3 linked regions of the Mus musculus genome follow. The protein of the gene in region 1 interacts with the protein of each later gene in a pairwise test. Links are inferred from orthologs where the notes say so. Each region holds a gene or a part of one and is shown on either strand. Other genes may lie near its edges. The genes, in order: Grb7, Kctd6 and Lax1.

What was found.
Region 2: the proteins of Grb7 (region 1) and Kctd6 interact in binary tests that used the Homo sapiens proteins (3 or more experiments, as listed by UniProt). The two-hybrid records come from large-scale screens. The link is inferred for Mus musculus from reciprocal best matches to the Homo sapiens genes GRB7 and KCTD6.
Region 3: the proteins of Grb7 (region 1) and Lax1 interact in binary tests that used the Homo sapiens proteins (3 or more experiments, as listed by UniProt). The two-hybrid records come from large-scale screens. The link is inferred for Mus musculus from reciprocal best matches to the Homo sapiens genes GRB7 and LAX1.

What each region holds. Positions count from the first base shown.
Region 1 is NC_000077.6:98,444,933-98,449,995, forward strand, and holds the start of Grb7 (growth factor receptor-bound protein 7), read left to right. Parts: upstream 1-1,901; 5' UTR 1,902-2,317; intron 2,318-2,552; exon of another isoform or gene 2,553-2,576; intron 2,577-3,865; exon of another isoform or gene 3,866-5,063. UniProt on the Homo sapiens protein: Adapter protein that interacts with the cytoplasmic domain of numerous receptor kinases and modulates down-stream signaling. Promotes activation of down-stream protein kinases, including STAT3, AKT1, MAPK1 and/or MAPK3. Promotes activation of HRAS.
Region 2 is NC_000080.6:8,212,129-8,217,311, reverse strand, and holds the start of Kctd6 (BTB/POZ domain-containing protein KCTD6), read right to left. Parts: upstream 3,232-5,183; 5' UTR 2,970-3,231; intron 2,811-2,969; exon of another isoform or gene 1,204-2,810; intron 1,198-1,203; exon of another isoform or gene 1-1,197. UniProt on the Homo sapiens protein: Probable substrate-specific adapter of a BCR (BTB-CUL3-RBX1) E3 ubiquitin-protein ligase complex mediating the ubiquitination and subsequent proteasomal degradation of target proteins.
Region 3 is NC_000067.6:133,686,912-133,692,129, reverse strand, and holds the start of Lax1 (lymphocyte transmembrane adapter 1), read left to right. Parts: upstream 1-2,021; 5' UTR 2,022-2,321; intron 2,322-3,125; 5' UTR 3,126-3,223; coding exon 3,224-3,309; intron 3,310-3,831; exon of another isoform or gene 3,832-5,218. UniProt on the Homo sapiens protein: Negatively regulates TCR (T-cell antigen receptor)-mediated signaling in T-cells and BCR (B-cell antigen receptor)-mediated signaling in B-cells.

The sequences.
Region 1 (5,063 bases):
GCTACAGTGTACTCACATATTATAAAGATCCTTGAAAGGAAGGAAGGAAGGAAGGAAGGAAGAAAGAAAGAAAGAAAGAAAGAAAGAAAGAAAGAAAGAAAGAAAGAAAGAAAGAAAGAAATGGAGCCAGGCATGGTGGCACATGACTGTAATAATCCCACCACTAGAGAGGCAGGAGGCAGAGGCAGGCTGATCTCTGTGAGTTCGAGAGCATCTTTGTAGGCCAGCCTGGTCTACAAAACAAGTTCCAGGACAGCCAGGGCTGTTACAGGGAAAAACCCTATCTTGAAAAACAAAAGACAGACAGACAGACAGACAGGAAGGGAGGGAGGGAAGGGGGAGAGAGAGAGAGAGAGAGAGAGAGAGAGAGAGAGAATATCACTCATTCAGCTGGAGTCTGGCTTTCCTCCAGCTCAGCCTTCTACATAGTGATCTTTTTTCAGAGTGCAGCCCTGCACTCCTGGCAGGGTCTGGCTTCTGCCCACTCCTCCTGCCAGTCTGGACAAACAGGATGGATGGCTCTCAAACCTGGTTTGCAAAACAGCCACCTGAGGGCTTGTCAATATCTCACATTCCTGGGGCTCTGCCTCCTCAGTGCTTTGAGACTCTGGTAGCTGAGGAGGGGCCCACGGGTCTGCTCTTTCCAGAGCAGCTTAAGAGACTGTGTTCCCCCCTTTTAAGAGCTGCAGTGTTTTCCCTCCACCCCTCCCGTACCTGCAAGACCTGCCCAGACTACCTGATGGCCTCCGTTCCTGTCCACCCCCACTCTCTTCTGCATTCCCTCCCAGCAGCTGCTTCTCCACACTGGGGGTCCACCATGGCAGGTTAACCCCTCTGGTTCCCACTCACTGCCAGGTCCTCCCTGGCTTTGTTTTCATGGCCTTCCCTGCCTCCTGTGAGTCACTCACCTGGCAAACTTGTCACCTGTCATTTCTTATTTGTGTGACTCTTAAAGGTCAGTCTCCCCGACTGGGTTGCAGCCAGCAAAGGGCGGGTCTGTTTTTGTTGTTTTGCTCTGTATACCCAGCGCCAAGCACAGGTCTGCTAGGTTGGAAATGAGGAAATTGTCTCCTGCAATTTGTTCAAATTGCTTCCTGGCCCAAGCAACCTGCCCCTTCCTCACCTTTTTGCTTTGCTCTATTCATACTAGTCTGTCTGATGTCTGTCTGTCTGTCGTCACTCTGTTTTTGAAACAGGGCTTCTCTGTACAGTCCTCACTGTCCATGTAGACCATGCTGGCCTCGAACTCACAGAGATCCACCTGCCCCTGCCCCTAGAGAGCTGGGATTAAAAGGCACACACTTCCACGGTGGCTTTCCACATTAGTTTTTCAAGCGGAAAAGCTAAGGGAGGCTGTGCTTCCTCAGGGCAGACCCCTTATCGCCCCAGTGGCTTGTTTGTTTTCTTAACTCTTAGCCATAGGAAGCTGGGAGGTGGCCCGCTGCCTTTGATCTGGGGACTCTCAACCCCTCTTCCTGATCCTCCAATGTTTGCTGTGAGCTGAACCAGAAAGCTGGAGTAACTGCTGTAATAGAAGCCATCTGCATCAGGCCACAACGGTCACCAGAACTGTGGCCCCTCCCACTAGGCCACCTTGCCACTCTTAAACTTGAAACTAGGAAGGTGAGACCCTGGACTTGCCTCGGAAGAGAGGGTGCACCTTGGGTATTTTAGCAGGGCCAGGACAACAGCCTGGGCGGCTGGACTGTGGTTGGAGGTCAAAGGGCAGAGCACCTCTTCTGGCTTCCCTTTTAAGCCCAGTGCCCTTTGCCCTAGGGGGTGAGATCCGAGCTGAAGACGGCCCCCTAGCTTGACCAATGAACTGACCATCATTGGAATGGGACGAGTAGGAGTGGGCGGGACCATTCGCGTTTAACAAACAGCCTCCAAACTCCCCTTCCCATGTAGTCAGGATTCTAGATTTTTCTCTGTCCAGCCTGTTCTCTCCGGGGCACCTGCTCTCTCTCTCTCTCTCCCTCTCTCCTAGCACCTGCTGCTCAGTAGGAAGGGCAAGAGCAATTCGAGGCGGTGCATTGTGAGGAGTCTCCACCCCTCCTCCTGCGCTTCCTTCTCCAGGGAGCCTCTCAGGCTCCGCCCTTACCTGCCCGAGATAATTTTAGTTTCCCTGGGCCTGGAATCTGGATACGCAGGGCTCGCTCTATATTCTCCCGCCTCAACATTCCAAAGGCGGGATAGCCTTTCTACCATCTGTAGAGAAGAGAGAAAGGATTCGAAATCAAATCTAAGTGTCTGGGATCTCTAGACAGAGCCAGACTTTGGGCCGGGTGTCCGGCTCCTTCTGTTGGAGGTGCTCCAGGTAAGCCGACCGAGATCGGTCTTAGATAATCTGCTCCTACCCCCAGCCTCACCGAGGGCCCCAGGTTGTGCCTGCATCGAGCGGATCTGGCCTGCTGCCCAGTTAGATGGCCGGGAGGCTGCCACGCTCTCCCCCCTGACCGCCCTCTCTCGGCGAGGTCAGGCCAGAGGCGGGGGGTGGGGGTGGGGGTGGGGGAGAAGGGGGGTGGGTGATAGTTAAGGCCTGGAATCTTCCTCCCTAAACCGGTGGCCTCAGGCAGGTGAGCTATGGTCTGGGTAAAGGCGGAAGCGGGAACTTCATCTTGGGGGATGGGATGGGATGGGATGGGATGCAAGTTAGGTCTGGGTCCCTAAGGAAAGAGTCACACTCCTGATGCTCTCTGCGCTGCATTGTTTGTTTTGTTTGTTGCTTGGCATCACCAATCCTTCCCCTTCCTCATCTTGCTCCCTGAGACCCGAGGTAAGGTCTCTCCATCACCTGAAATCTTGACTTTCCGGCTAAAACTAGTTCTTACCCAACACCAGTTAGTAGGGGGTGCTAGATCCGGAGGTTGCCCTTCAATACCTTATTGAGCTCAGTTTACTACAATCTGGGGTTCCCATTCGGAGGGGAGTAAGGGAGAGCGACTCCCGCAATGGTTGGAACTGCATCTCTCCACGTTGTGGTCCCATCTCCGATACGGAAGCTCAGCAGGCTGCGGATCCCTCCTGGCTGCAAATGAGTGTGGACAAAGAAAGCTAGAGGGGTGGGTGTAGTGTGAAGGTCTGCAGTTCGGGGCCTGGAAAACAGTGTATGGCCGGGTATGTGGGCCTGCCTGAGGCTGAAGTTGGGGGAAAGACCTAGTTAGGTCTGGGTTTTCATGGTAGGATGGAGACAGAGTGCATCTGAGGGACAGCTGATAGTATTTTCAACCTTTTCTCCCTCTTTTCCCCCCAAGAATGCAATGCCTTCTGGGTCATGAGTCTGTCTAGCTTGGACTCTGCTCTCCCCCAATAGCGCGTGCTAATGTGTGTGTGTGTGTGTGTGTGTGTGTGTGTGTTTGTGTTCTCCCCGAAGGCAAACTAATGATTAACTCTACAGAGAACTCTAGCATTCTTCCCAAATTAAACATTAAAAGAGTTGTCCCGCCCGCTTTATTTCATTGGATGTTCCCACCCCCCCCCCAACCCCGGCGGAATGGGTGGAGCATCAACTTTGGGTCAACTCAGGGTTTCCTACCTCCCCACCTGCTCCCGGTACCCGGAAAGGTTAAGCCCCCCCCCCCCCCCACTTCCCTCCCCAAGTCCTGATGGGTGTTAGCTTCCTGTGCTGGTCCAGAGCCGGATCTCAGGCTGCCCAGGCCAGCAGCTCAGTGTCTGCCCCACGAACCCTTCGCCTCATCTTGGGAAGAGGAGATGGTGGCCTTGTTTGCAGTTGGCCCCAAACATTAGGCCTTGCCACTCGCCCCTGGGGCTTTCTAGGTGGGGCAAGATTCAGGAAGTAAACAAGGCAGCAGGGAGGGTAGGAGAGAGGGTGGGGCAGGAGCTGCTGGGGCTGGAGAGCCAGAGTTTGGAGTGGCCTAGCTGAGAGGACAAATTGGTTGGGGGACCAGTTTCTCCAACGGAACCTTTGCTTAGGCCCTAGTTTGAATGTTTTCCATCTTTTGGGCAGGCCCCACAGCAGGCTCCCCTGCCTCATCTCAAATTTTAGTTACTCTACCGTCCCCTAGAGCTGTCCATCTTAAGGGTGTGGTGGAGGGATCTGGAAGCTAACCCTAGTTTAGCCTGCACCTGAGCTTCTAACATCAGACTGTAATCTGACTTCAATCTACTTCCTCCCGTTTCAAACACCTGTCTAACTGGGTGTTGTTTTCTCCATTTGAGGGAGGGGCACCCTTGCTGATGCTCCCACCTCTGCTTGAAAAAGGAGATTAGGTGAGTGGGAGTGGGTGCCCGGTGTTGATGTTCCTTGCTTGGTGTCTTGAGGATGCTAAGTGTCAGATGGGTCTTGCTTGCTCTTCTTGGCTGTCCTGGGGGGTGCTTTGCTGCCTGCCTGCCTGTCTTCTTGGGTGTTTTAACTCCACTTCTGCCTGGTGATACCCCTCAGGTCAGGACACCCCAGAGTGTGTTTAGAGACCCTCTCCCACAGAGCAATCCCTGGGACTAGATATACAATCACCATCATATATCTTGGGATAGTTAACAGCAAACAGAGTTGTAGGTTCCAGACCCAGGCCAGGCAGGGCTGGATGCTGCTTGTCTATCACCAGGAGGTGGGCTCCAATCCTGATAGGCTCCTGGATCCAGGCCGGGCGTTTCTTCTCTCCTTCCTGGGCTATGGGCAGGGAGATGGTTCAGGACTAGAGGTGGGTAGATGATTATTCCCACCTGAGCTGGACACTGGCCAAGGGTGGGGAGGGTGACCTCAGAGGAGCCTCAGGCTGCCCCTCCTCACATCTTCATCTCTACCCAGCCCGCACCCCTTACTCCCAGGCTACCTGTAGGTTGGGAAGTCAGGGATGGAAGGCAGAGGCAGGTTGTTTGTGCTCCTTCTTAGCCAGGAAGTCCTGTGGATGAGTCAAGGTTGAATGGAGAGCCTGGGGCATAGCTGTCCCGCCCCGCCTTGACTCACCTGTCCCCCAGATCCCTTCATGCCCTCATGGAAGGGTCAACCCTGGTGGAGGGAACCCTGGGTGTCCTGGGTAGCCTCACAGTCCCGGTGAGGATGTCTGGAGAATAGGCAGGCTGCTGGGATTGGCATTTTGTCT
Region 2 (5,183 bases), on another chromosome or scaffold:
GAACTCAGAGATTTATCTGCCTCTGCCTCCTGGAATGCTGGAATTAAAGGCATGTGCCACTACCTCCTGGACAAGCCCAGGTTTCTTAAAAAGCACTTCAAGACCTTATAGTTATACATAAAATACATCAAAATAAAATACTAGTCACTTCCAATATAAGCTAGCAAAATCTATTTAAAATATTGTACTAAATTGATCACCAATAAAGTCAAAATGGGAGTAGTCTTGATTGATTTAAAATTGGTATGTGTTCCTTGTAAACATAAACAGAGACGCAACTAGAGAGACAAGAGGGGCAAGATTCTAGCCTATCCAACAGCCGGACTCTGAACTGATGCCTGCCAAGAACATCTCAGGGGTGGATACAATAAACACAACCCAGAAGTAGCTTCAGCTTCTTCCACCTCATCGTTCTCCAGGGACGCTAACAATTCATTTCCCTTTCATCTTCTCTCCCATCCGGCACAACCTCCTCCAGTGGAGGGCTTAATGAGAACAAGCCAGGCGACAGAAGGCCTCCAAGGGGGCATCAAGCAGGCCAAGGTGAAATGTTTCCTCATAAGATTCCTTTAAGTGACTTTCCCTTACGAAAGATCTTTCTTAGAGTCATGGCTACAACCAACGACTATAAAGTTCAAAGAAAGGCTTTCTGACTTGTAAAATCGGTTTACCTGAAAATACCTGACCTTTGATTCAAAAAAAAAAAAAAATTATGGTCCTAAAGACTATCATGCTTGCTTGAACTTCAAAGGTCATTGTAACTAATGTGTAAAATCTGATAGTATGTTAGCAGGTAGTTAAGAAAAACATATTCTGAAGAATTTCTAGAAGCCTGAAAAGAAGTTACTAATTTACTGACCCTAGCAAATCTGAAGAATGCACACTCCAGGAAGTTAACAACTTAACCTGTGAGAACCCTCCTTACCACAGCAAAGCTACAGTGGGGGTTATGATAAGACAGCACAAACATTCTAGACTTACTTCTGCTATTGAGTAAGACGCTCCAGAGCAAAAGTCCTCCTCCCCTGTAACAGTCTATATGCCGTAATGCTAACCTCGGATTAGAAAATGTAATGATACAACTGTAGTCACTGCCTTCCCACGCTTTCTGGGTAGCCCTTCCAAGTGCTTTTCTACTGAAACCTTTGTGTCTGCCATCCCAAAATGAAGACCGGTAAATTTTCTCTCTCCACCTATACTTACCTTCCAAGCTGCCTTTGTACTGAGTTTCTCTGTTCTTGGGAACGTGGGAGTTTGAAAGTGAAATACTTTTTATAGTAATTGGTTCAGTGGCATCTCCTGGCGTCTTCGGAGTTAACATCCACATACAGGCCAGCACAAGTAGCGAGCGCACAAGGATAATGGGATTATAAAGCTAAATTACCACTAACTAAACCCCTCTCTCAACCTCGTGGGCTAGAAGAAAGGAAATGTAGGCAAAAAGGGAGAAAGTCCTACAAGAAATTATGAATCTTCTGACAGTATCAAACCAGAAGAATATATACTCTCCAGCTTAAGTGCTGTCAGAGTCACAAATCATAAAATTCTACTTTCCCTCAGTTTCCACCAAAATGGGTATTATGACCTTCCCAAAAGTAACCACACCGTTTAAACACAATGGAGGTAAAACTGGCCGACAGGGCAGTGAGGAGTGGCGCTCTGGATTCACGTGCAGCATGCCAGCAGAGGGCTGTGAGAACCTGAGTAGACCGCCCTTTACTACTCGCAGCATCACCAAAATTTAAATAGGTAAGTCAGACACGGTGGGCGAACATGCAGGTTAGGACCAATCTGTGTTCCCACTCTGTCCCGTCCCTGGCCCTCCTTTCCCGGAGATCCCACCGCAGTTGCCGTGAGAAAAACTAAAGGTAAAATGATGTCCAGCGTTCGCAGAGACAAACAGACACGTGAGCTCTCGGGACTTCTAGAAAGCATGACTCAGGGTTGTCTCAAGATAAAGCAGAAGACACACATACGTGTTCCGTTTAAAATAGACCCCAACTATTAAAATCCAGGATGCGACGATGGATCATAGGAGTGACCATAAGACTGCTTTCCACGCTATTGCTTCAGCTAAAATACACTTTAAAAATTTTCAAATTCTATGGCCATCTTTCTACCTACGGTATTACAAAAAACTAAGAATCCGTGTGGGCTCCTGGTTTTCATCCAAAGGGTGATTCTCCCACCCTACCTACTTAGATCTTTACTCTTTTGAAACACTTCTGGCTTTGGGCCTGTAATACCCCACCATTATTCCCATACTAGAATATCTGCAACAGCGAAAAAGATGAGCCTGCCAAGGGGGGTACATTGGAGCAGGTTGTTTGGGCTATCCCAGACATTCTTAGCTAAACCAGGTCACATCGGTCTATTTGTCTGCATCACGAAATCCTGAAACCAGGTTTATCAACTTGCTGTATGTACTGGTGTACAGAACAGAAACATGACAACTTCAGCAGAATATCCAAACAGGATCTCAGTCACGTTTCGTTTCCCCGTCCCACCCCCAGACACAGCCTCCGCTGCCATCGCCCAGCAGGTGCTGCAGGGGCTCCCCACGACCTCGCCAAGGATCACCTCTTAACACCCAGCACTAAATCGCCGTGACATCCCAAAATTCCGGTAAAAAGCTGCAATTTGTGCACAAAACCCAAAAAGCAGAGCTTTAAACTAGGGCAGTGGCGGCTAATAAACACCACTCCCCAAAACACCAACCCTTTGCCCCGCAGAGCCCGCTGGTCCCTACTCCGCGGTCTCCCGCAAGCCAAGCCCGGCCGGCCACGCGCACCGAGCCCCGAACCCGAGCCGGAGCCCAAAGCCCGAGGCGGCCGCGCGTCCCCGATTTCCCCGCCCAGGCCCCGCCGCGGGCTCGTGCCAGCCCGGGGACGCGCGGCCGCCACCCGCCGTTCTCCTCAGCCCGACTTCCCGCAGCCCCGGCCCGCAGGCCCCGCTCGCGCCCCACTCACTGCACGAGCGCGGAGGCGACCCGGCCGGGAGACGCCGGCGGCCCGAGAGCGCGAGCGCGGGGACGAGCGAGCCCGCGCCCCGCGGCGGCAGCGGCGGCGGTGGCGGCGGCGGCGGCGGCGGCGGCAGAGGGGACGAGTGAGCCGGAGCCCGGAGTTGCGGCTCCAGCTGCCCGGCGCGGGCGGCGCCTTCTCAGCAGAGTCGCGGCGCCGAGAACGCGGACGCCCCCTATCGGCGGCGCGGGGCGAAGGCCGGGAAGCCGGATCGCCGCGGGCACTCTGGGCGCTGCCGGGGCGGCGTGGTCAGGCGGGCTCTGCAGCAGTCCCGAAGCCCCGCCTCCGTCCCGTTCCTATCCCCGCCCCGCCCAGGACTCCCGCGCGGAGCTCCGCCCAGGCCACGCCCCTAACTCCCCCTCCGCTTTCAGCCTCTCCTCCTGGCCGCCAGCAGTCTCTTCCCTGCTTGCCCAGGACTCCTTCTCCGCAACTGTTTCTCCTCAGCTGTTTTCACTAAGTCGATAGACCTCATCGCATGCAGGGCTTAGAGAGAAGAGCAGCCACCCAGACCGAGGCGCGTCTCAAGACTCAAAAAAGCAGCCAGTAGACACACACAAGACAAGTTCGAATCCTGGTGAGAGCGGTCCAATAAGAAGGCTGCCTTGGCCGGGCTTGGTGGCATACGCCAGAACTCCGGAGGCAGAGGCAGGTGGATTTCTGAGTTCGAGGCCAGCCTGGTCTACAAAGTGAGTTCCAGGACAGCCAAGGCTACACAGAGAAACCCTGTCTTGAAAAAACAACAACAAAAAAAAGAAGGCTGCCTTGGAGAATAAGGGAAGATGTGACGATCTGATATATATAAAATATTAGTATACATTTAATGTTATTAATATTGATGTAATTATATTATATTAATATATACATAATAATGTAGTTAATATTATTAATGTATTAATATATAAGACTCCTGGCCTTATATATTAAGGCAGGCCATTCTGTAAAGTAATGGCTTAGAGGGACCACCGATCCAGCCTTTTAGGCAGAGAAGAGCAGCCAGTTAGAAGGGCAGAGCTAACTAACGTCATCCTGTGTAATACCTCTGAGGATCTTAGTCTGGATGGGACTGGCAAGGGTAATGTCCCTTCAGGAAGGACATCAAGGCTGCAGGGCTAATTGGATTCCATGCATAGACAAGATGCAAAAGCCACCACTTCTAGCTAGCCAGATCTCAATCCACTTCTACATGGGTGAAAAGCCACTGGCCTTAGAAACTCACCTGGGCCAGGCATAGTAAAAGTAGTGCACATCCTTAATGCCAGCACTTAGAGGCAGTGGCATGTGGGTCTCTTGTGAGCTCTAGGTTAGCCTGGCCCACATAGCTAGTCTCTAGGACAGATGAGGCTACATAACGAGACCCTTTCTCAAAAGAACAAAACAGAAACTTACCTGGTTTACACATCTGCATGTTTGTGAGGTGGTTCTGAAATCTAGTTTTTATATGTATGATCATCATCTAATATTCTATTTTTTCTCCAAAAATCAAATTGATAGGTTAAATAAGCAATGTGGACTTCAACACAATGGACGGCTACATTGACATCTAAGCAAGGATACAAACTAATTAAGAATATGGGAATAGGGCTGGAGAAATGGCTCAGCGGGTAAGAGCACTGACTGCTCTTCCGAAGGTCCTGAGTTCAAATCCCAGAAACCACATGGTGGCTCACAACCATCTGTAATGGGATCTGATGCCCTCTTCCGGTATGTCTGAAGTCAGCTAAAGTGTACTTATGTATAATAATAAATAAATCTTTTTAAAAAGAATATGGGAATATGCTCCTGCAAATCAGGACACAAAATCATACATACAGGACCCCAATGTTGATTTTAATACATACAGTACCCCAATGTTGATTTTAATACATACAGTACCCTAATGTTGATTTTAATACATACAGCACCCCAATGTTGATTTTAATACATACAGTACCCCAATGTTGATTTTTTTTTCCCTATTTTTTTGTTTGTTTTGAGACAAGTCTTCTCTGTGTAGCCTCGCTGTGCTGGAACTCACTCTGTAGACCAGGCTGGCCTCAAACTCAGAGATCCGACTGCCTCTGCCTCCCAAGTGCTGGAATTAAAGGCGTGCGCCACCACTTCCTCACCCACCCTCCCATTCCCCCCCCACCCCCCGGCAGCCCCTACTAACATTGATTTTTTTTT
Region 3 (5,218 bases), on another chromosome or scaffold:
TGCCTCTGCCTCCCACCACTACCAGGTTAGAGGAATAATAGTTTGTTTTTTGTTTTTGTTTGTTTGTTTGTTTGTTTGTTTTGTTTTTGTTTTTTTGAGAGAGGGTTTCTCTGTACAGCCTTGGCTGTCCTGGAACTCACTTTGTAGACCAGGCTGGCCTCGAACTCAGAGATCCTCTTGCCTCTGCCTCCCACCACTACCAGGTTAAAGGAATACTAGTTTTTCTTCAAACCTGATCCCAAGGAAATGTAGGCAGAGACCTAGGTCCCAGCCCCCAGACTATCTGTCTCTAGCTAAGCAGGCTCCCCAGAGCCTGGCGTGGCGGGATTTCCTGCACAGTACTCTGGGCCTTGGGAGAACTGGAACAAGTAGGTTGTGTCCAGGCTCTGGAAGCCAAGAACTCCAGCGTGCACCTGAAAGAGGTCCCAGCGAGGCAGAATGGCAAAGGCACGGAGGCCACCCCTTCCAGTTACCTGGAGCTCCACCTGGTTTGGCAAGTGTCGTGAGAGAGGCTCCCTGCATCCTCTATACACTCGTGGTGGTTCTGGCTGACTCGCCAGGAGGGTTGGTTTCCCGACACACGTGAAGCGAAAGGGAAGGGATTTTAGAAACAAACTCGAAACTTTCTCCCAAGCTTGGGAGCTTGAGGTAAATGCTGGCGAGAAACCCAGCAGTACCTGAAATGAGAGGTTACCCAGGACTGGGACTGGCTGCAGCAGAGCCAGGCCAGCAACAGATAGCCCCTCACCAGAAGCCCTGAGGAAGAAACAGTGGCCAACGGCCCTGTAACCCGGGCTCGGTTCCATTCCCACTATGATACCGGAACAGAGGCTCTGAGAGTATGAAACTCAGCTCACCTCTGGCATTATCACCTGCAGAAGATCTATTTATGAAGCCAGTCCACCCACGGAACCACAAGCGGGTGCCAGCTCTGTACAGCTCTCTAAACAACTAATTCTAGCTCTTTTGAGATCTGCTAAGAACCATTCTAAGGCCAGCATTGGTGGTACACTTTTTCAATCCCAGCCCTTAGGAGACAGAGGCTGGAGGACCTCTGAGAGTTTGAGGTCAGCCAGCCTGGCCTGTGTAGTGAAATACAGAACAGGGCAGTGGTGGCACACGCCTTTAATCCCAGCACTCAGGAGGTAGAGGCAGTCGGGTTTCTGAGTTCGAGGCCAGCCTGGTCTACAAAGTATGTTCCAGGCCAGCCAGGGCTATACAGAGAAACCCTGTCTCGAAAAACCAAAAAGAGAGGGGGGGGGAGGGAGGGAGGGAGGGAGGGAGGGAGGGAGGAAGGGAGGGAGGGAGGGAGGGAGGAAGAAAGAAAGAAAGAAAGAAAGAAAGAAAGAAAGAAAGAAAGAAAGAAAGAAAGAAAGAAAGAAAGAAAGAAAGAAAGAAAGAAAAGCCATGGATGTGTAGAGAAACCCTGTCTTGGGTTGGGAGCAGGGGTAAGAACCATTCTGAGCCCTGAGCCTGATTCACACCTGTAAGCACATCACCAGGGACATTAAGACAAGAAGCTACTATGAGTTCAGTCAACTTGACCTCTGAAGGGAGATCTGCCTCACAAAAACAAAAAACAAAAAAAACATAGTGTGCAAGATGGTTCATTGGATACAAACACTTGCCTCTGTCCAACACCCTAGTTTGACTCTTGAGACCAACACAGTAAGTAGGAAAGAACACACTCCCTCCAGTGTTCTCTGACCCCCACTCATGTGGCACGGCATGTGTGCAGACACAGTAAATAGATGTGAAAAGCATAAATAAGTAAAGATAACCAATGACAATAGCTACGCAAGCACATTGTCTTGAACCTTCGAATTTTGACCCTAGAGGTTTTTAACACTCAGAAAAACAGGGTGAATAGTCATGTCTCTGACTCTTCAACCACATGGGCCCCAGATGCCAGAGTGCCTGTGGGGAACAGGAGGGCTGAAGGTGGGTTTCCTGCTGTCTGGGTTGAGCGGAGCATTTCCTGTGCCCTGGCCTTATTAGCACACCGGTGGAGGGTGCTTCCTGTCAGCGACTTTCCATTCTGCCAGAGTGGTTTGCTGTTTTCACACTGCCCTGGGGGTTGGAGGAAGAAGATTTTCTCACGAAAACGCTGGGCCTCTTGACAGTCGCCTCCCTACTCCCCCACAGGCCCCTCATGTTTCCATCAACTGGCAGAAACTAGAGAGTGGCCCTACTGCTTCACACTGGGAGCACAGACAGCTGGGTGAGAAAGAGCACGGCTCCTGCAGTGGGCATTGTGGCCACCTCCAGTAGACCAACTCTGATGAACCTTCTACCAACTCAGCCTGGAATTTCAGGTGAAGGTAGGGAGGTTTGGGTCTTATTACTATTGTTGTTGCTGTTAGTAGTAGTAGTGGTGGTACAGCCGTTCTGTGTGTGTGTGTGTGTGTGTGTGTGTGTGTGTGTGTGTGTGTGTCTCGGAAGATCAGAAGATAATTTGTAGGAACCGGTTCTTGCCTTCCACTATGCATGCAGAGGGTAAACTTGGGTCATTAAACTGGCAGTAAGTACCTTTACCTGCAGAGCCATCGCACCAGCCCAAAGAAGGCAGTTTGTTGGGAGAACATTCTAGAACAGAAGATTAAAAGCTTCAGAAAGAAACAAAAACTAAAAACCAGTTTTGTATGTGAGAACCTTGGTGAATATGATCTAGGAAGAATGACTGGGAGGTGGCTGCATTGCATGAGGTACTCGAAGCCCTGGGGTTCCAGCTCCAGAACCACCTTCATGAGTGCGGTGGTGCACACCTGGAAATCCCAGTGCTGAGGGAGCAGAGGCAGAGGATCAGAGTTCAAGATCCTACACCCCCCATATATGTATATGTATATGTATATGTATATGTATATGTATATGTATATGTATATGTATATGTATATGTATATGTATGTGTATATATGTGTATATATATATATACATATATATATATGTATATATATATATATCATCTTGGGTACTTAAATAAGAAATTTCAATAGTACAAAATGATACAATTTGGAATACATAGGGATTTGGAGAATTTTCTGTCATTCTATTATCTACTTTTTTTTTAAAAGGTGATTATATGCAAAATGCATACCAGTTTACCCTTTTTCCCCTCTATGAATCAGCAACTTAGAAAGAGCTAAGAAAAGTGGAAGCCATACTGGCTAGTCAGTCACGACACTGAAAAGGCTTAGAAGCTGCAAAGCCCCTCAGAGGTCCAGTGATGTACAGCACCCCGGCCCCTCCAGAGGTCACAAGAAGGAACTCAGAGCCCAGCACTCGGCAGGGGACTCTTGGCAGCCTGCAGGGGTGAGTGCTTTGGGAAAGTGAGCCCCAGGGTCCCCTGATCTCCTACAGGAATGGTCTATTTCCAACCCAGACCTGGGTCCACCAAGATGAGCAAACTTGGGGAGCTAAGAGCTGTTTCCCCGAGGGATGCTGGGAGGGAAGAAAAGAGATACTGGGGTTGAGGGGAGAGGGACGGACTGACTGAGAGGTGAATTTCTGAGGGGATCTTCTTCCACTCAGAGGTCCTGACCTCTGCCCTTGAGATTTCCAACCTCTTGGCCTAATCCCTGCAATGAGTTTTTAGATCCTAAAGCCCTTGTCATGAGTGAGAAATGTAACTGCAGACGTCATAAAGTTTTAGGACCTTACAGAGCTAGTCACGGATGTCAACGTGCTCCGGAAGTTTTCAATCTCAAATACACAAAAGGAAAGCATCTGTTGATAGGGCGCTGAGATTTTAGAAACATTAGAATGGGTAAATTCCAGCTCTTCCATCAAAGTAAAAACCCAATGACAGTGTATTCTGTTCCTGAATTGCTGTAGTTTCAGGAAAAGTCAGCGTGATGACCAGAGTAAATCAGTGTCACGAGCAGGTCAAACACAAACGAAGAGGACCAAGTTCCTATCCATCGCTGAAGCCTGGAGCACCCTCTTAAAATGAGTTCCCTCTTTATTATATCTGGGGGGAGTAGAATGGTGTAGAGGTCAGAGGGCAATTTACAGAAGTCAGTTTCATCATATGGGTGTCAGGGATCAAACTTAGCGTGTTGGGCTTGGCTGCAGGTGCCTTTACACACTGAGCCCTCTCACTGACCCCTTAAAACTATTTCTTTTTTAAGTTGACATTTGCTTTATTGTTGTTTTCTCTTTCTTTTTCACTTGGTAGTCAGTAAATAAAATCTGTACTTATGTATTATGTTTAGCACATAGTTTTGCAATACATGTGTATTATGGATGGCTAAATACCGTATGTATTACGTGACATATCCTTTTATGAGAGGATGCTTCAAATAACACTTTTAAGCAATGTTCAAGAATCCATTACTTTCAGCATTGCCATGTTGAACTTCTTCCTTCTACCTGACCTTTGGCACCTCTGGGAACCCTCCCTTACCACCTCTGGTGACCTCCATTCTATTCTCTGAGTCTCTGAGTTCAATCTATTTAGTCTCTGCATATAAGCAAGACGGAGCAGGACCTATCTGTTCCTGGGTTCTTTCACTTAATGCTAGGTCCTCTGGGTCCATCCACCATGTCGCAAATGACAAGATCGTCTTCCCTTTTAAAGCTCAGTGATATCTTTTGCATGTGTATTCCGAATTCTCTCTATCCACTTATCTGTTGATAGACACGCGGGTTAATTCTGCATCTTGGCTATGGTGACTTTTGCTGCAAAGATTATGACAGTACAAACATCTCTAATAAACACGGGAGTACAGACACAGTTTTCATTTGCTTTGAATAAAGTTCTTGTAGTGGGACTGACAGAGCATATGGCGATTCTATTTTTAATTTTTTGGGATAATTGCCATAAGTCATTTTCTACCATGACTGTGTTATTCTCAAAACTACTTCTGTGTTCATTTGTTTATTATTTCATTCACTTATCACTGAACAAATATTCATGAAGCGCTTACCGTGTGGCTTGAGATGCTGAGTGAACAGAATAGGCAAGACCGTGACTCCCTGAGGCTCAGTCAGCGGCAGCGCTTGATAGCAGACATAACCAAATAAATGTATACTCTCAATCAGCCGTAAGTGCTTTGAAGAAGAAACCGAACTGAGTAAGAAAGCTGTGAGTGGTGGATGTGACTGGGGAGGGTCTCTCGAAGGAGGAGAAGACACCTGAGACTTAATGAAATGAGGGGCTCTGCCATGCAGATCCAAGACAGAACTGTTCTTCACATGGATGAAAGCAGGAACAGCAAGC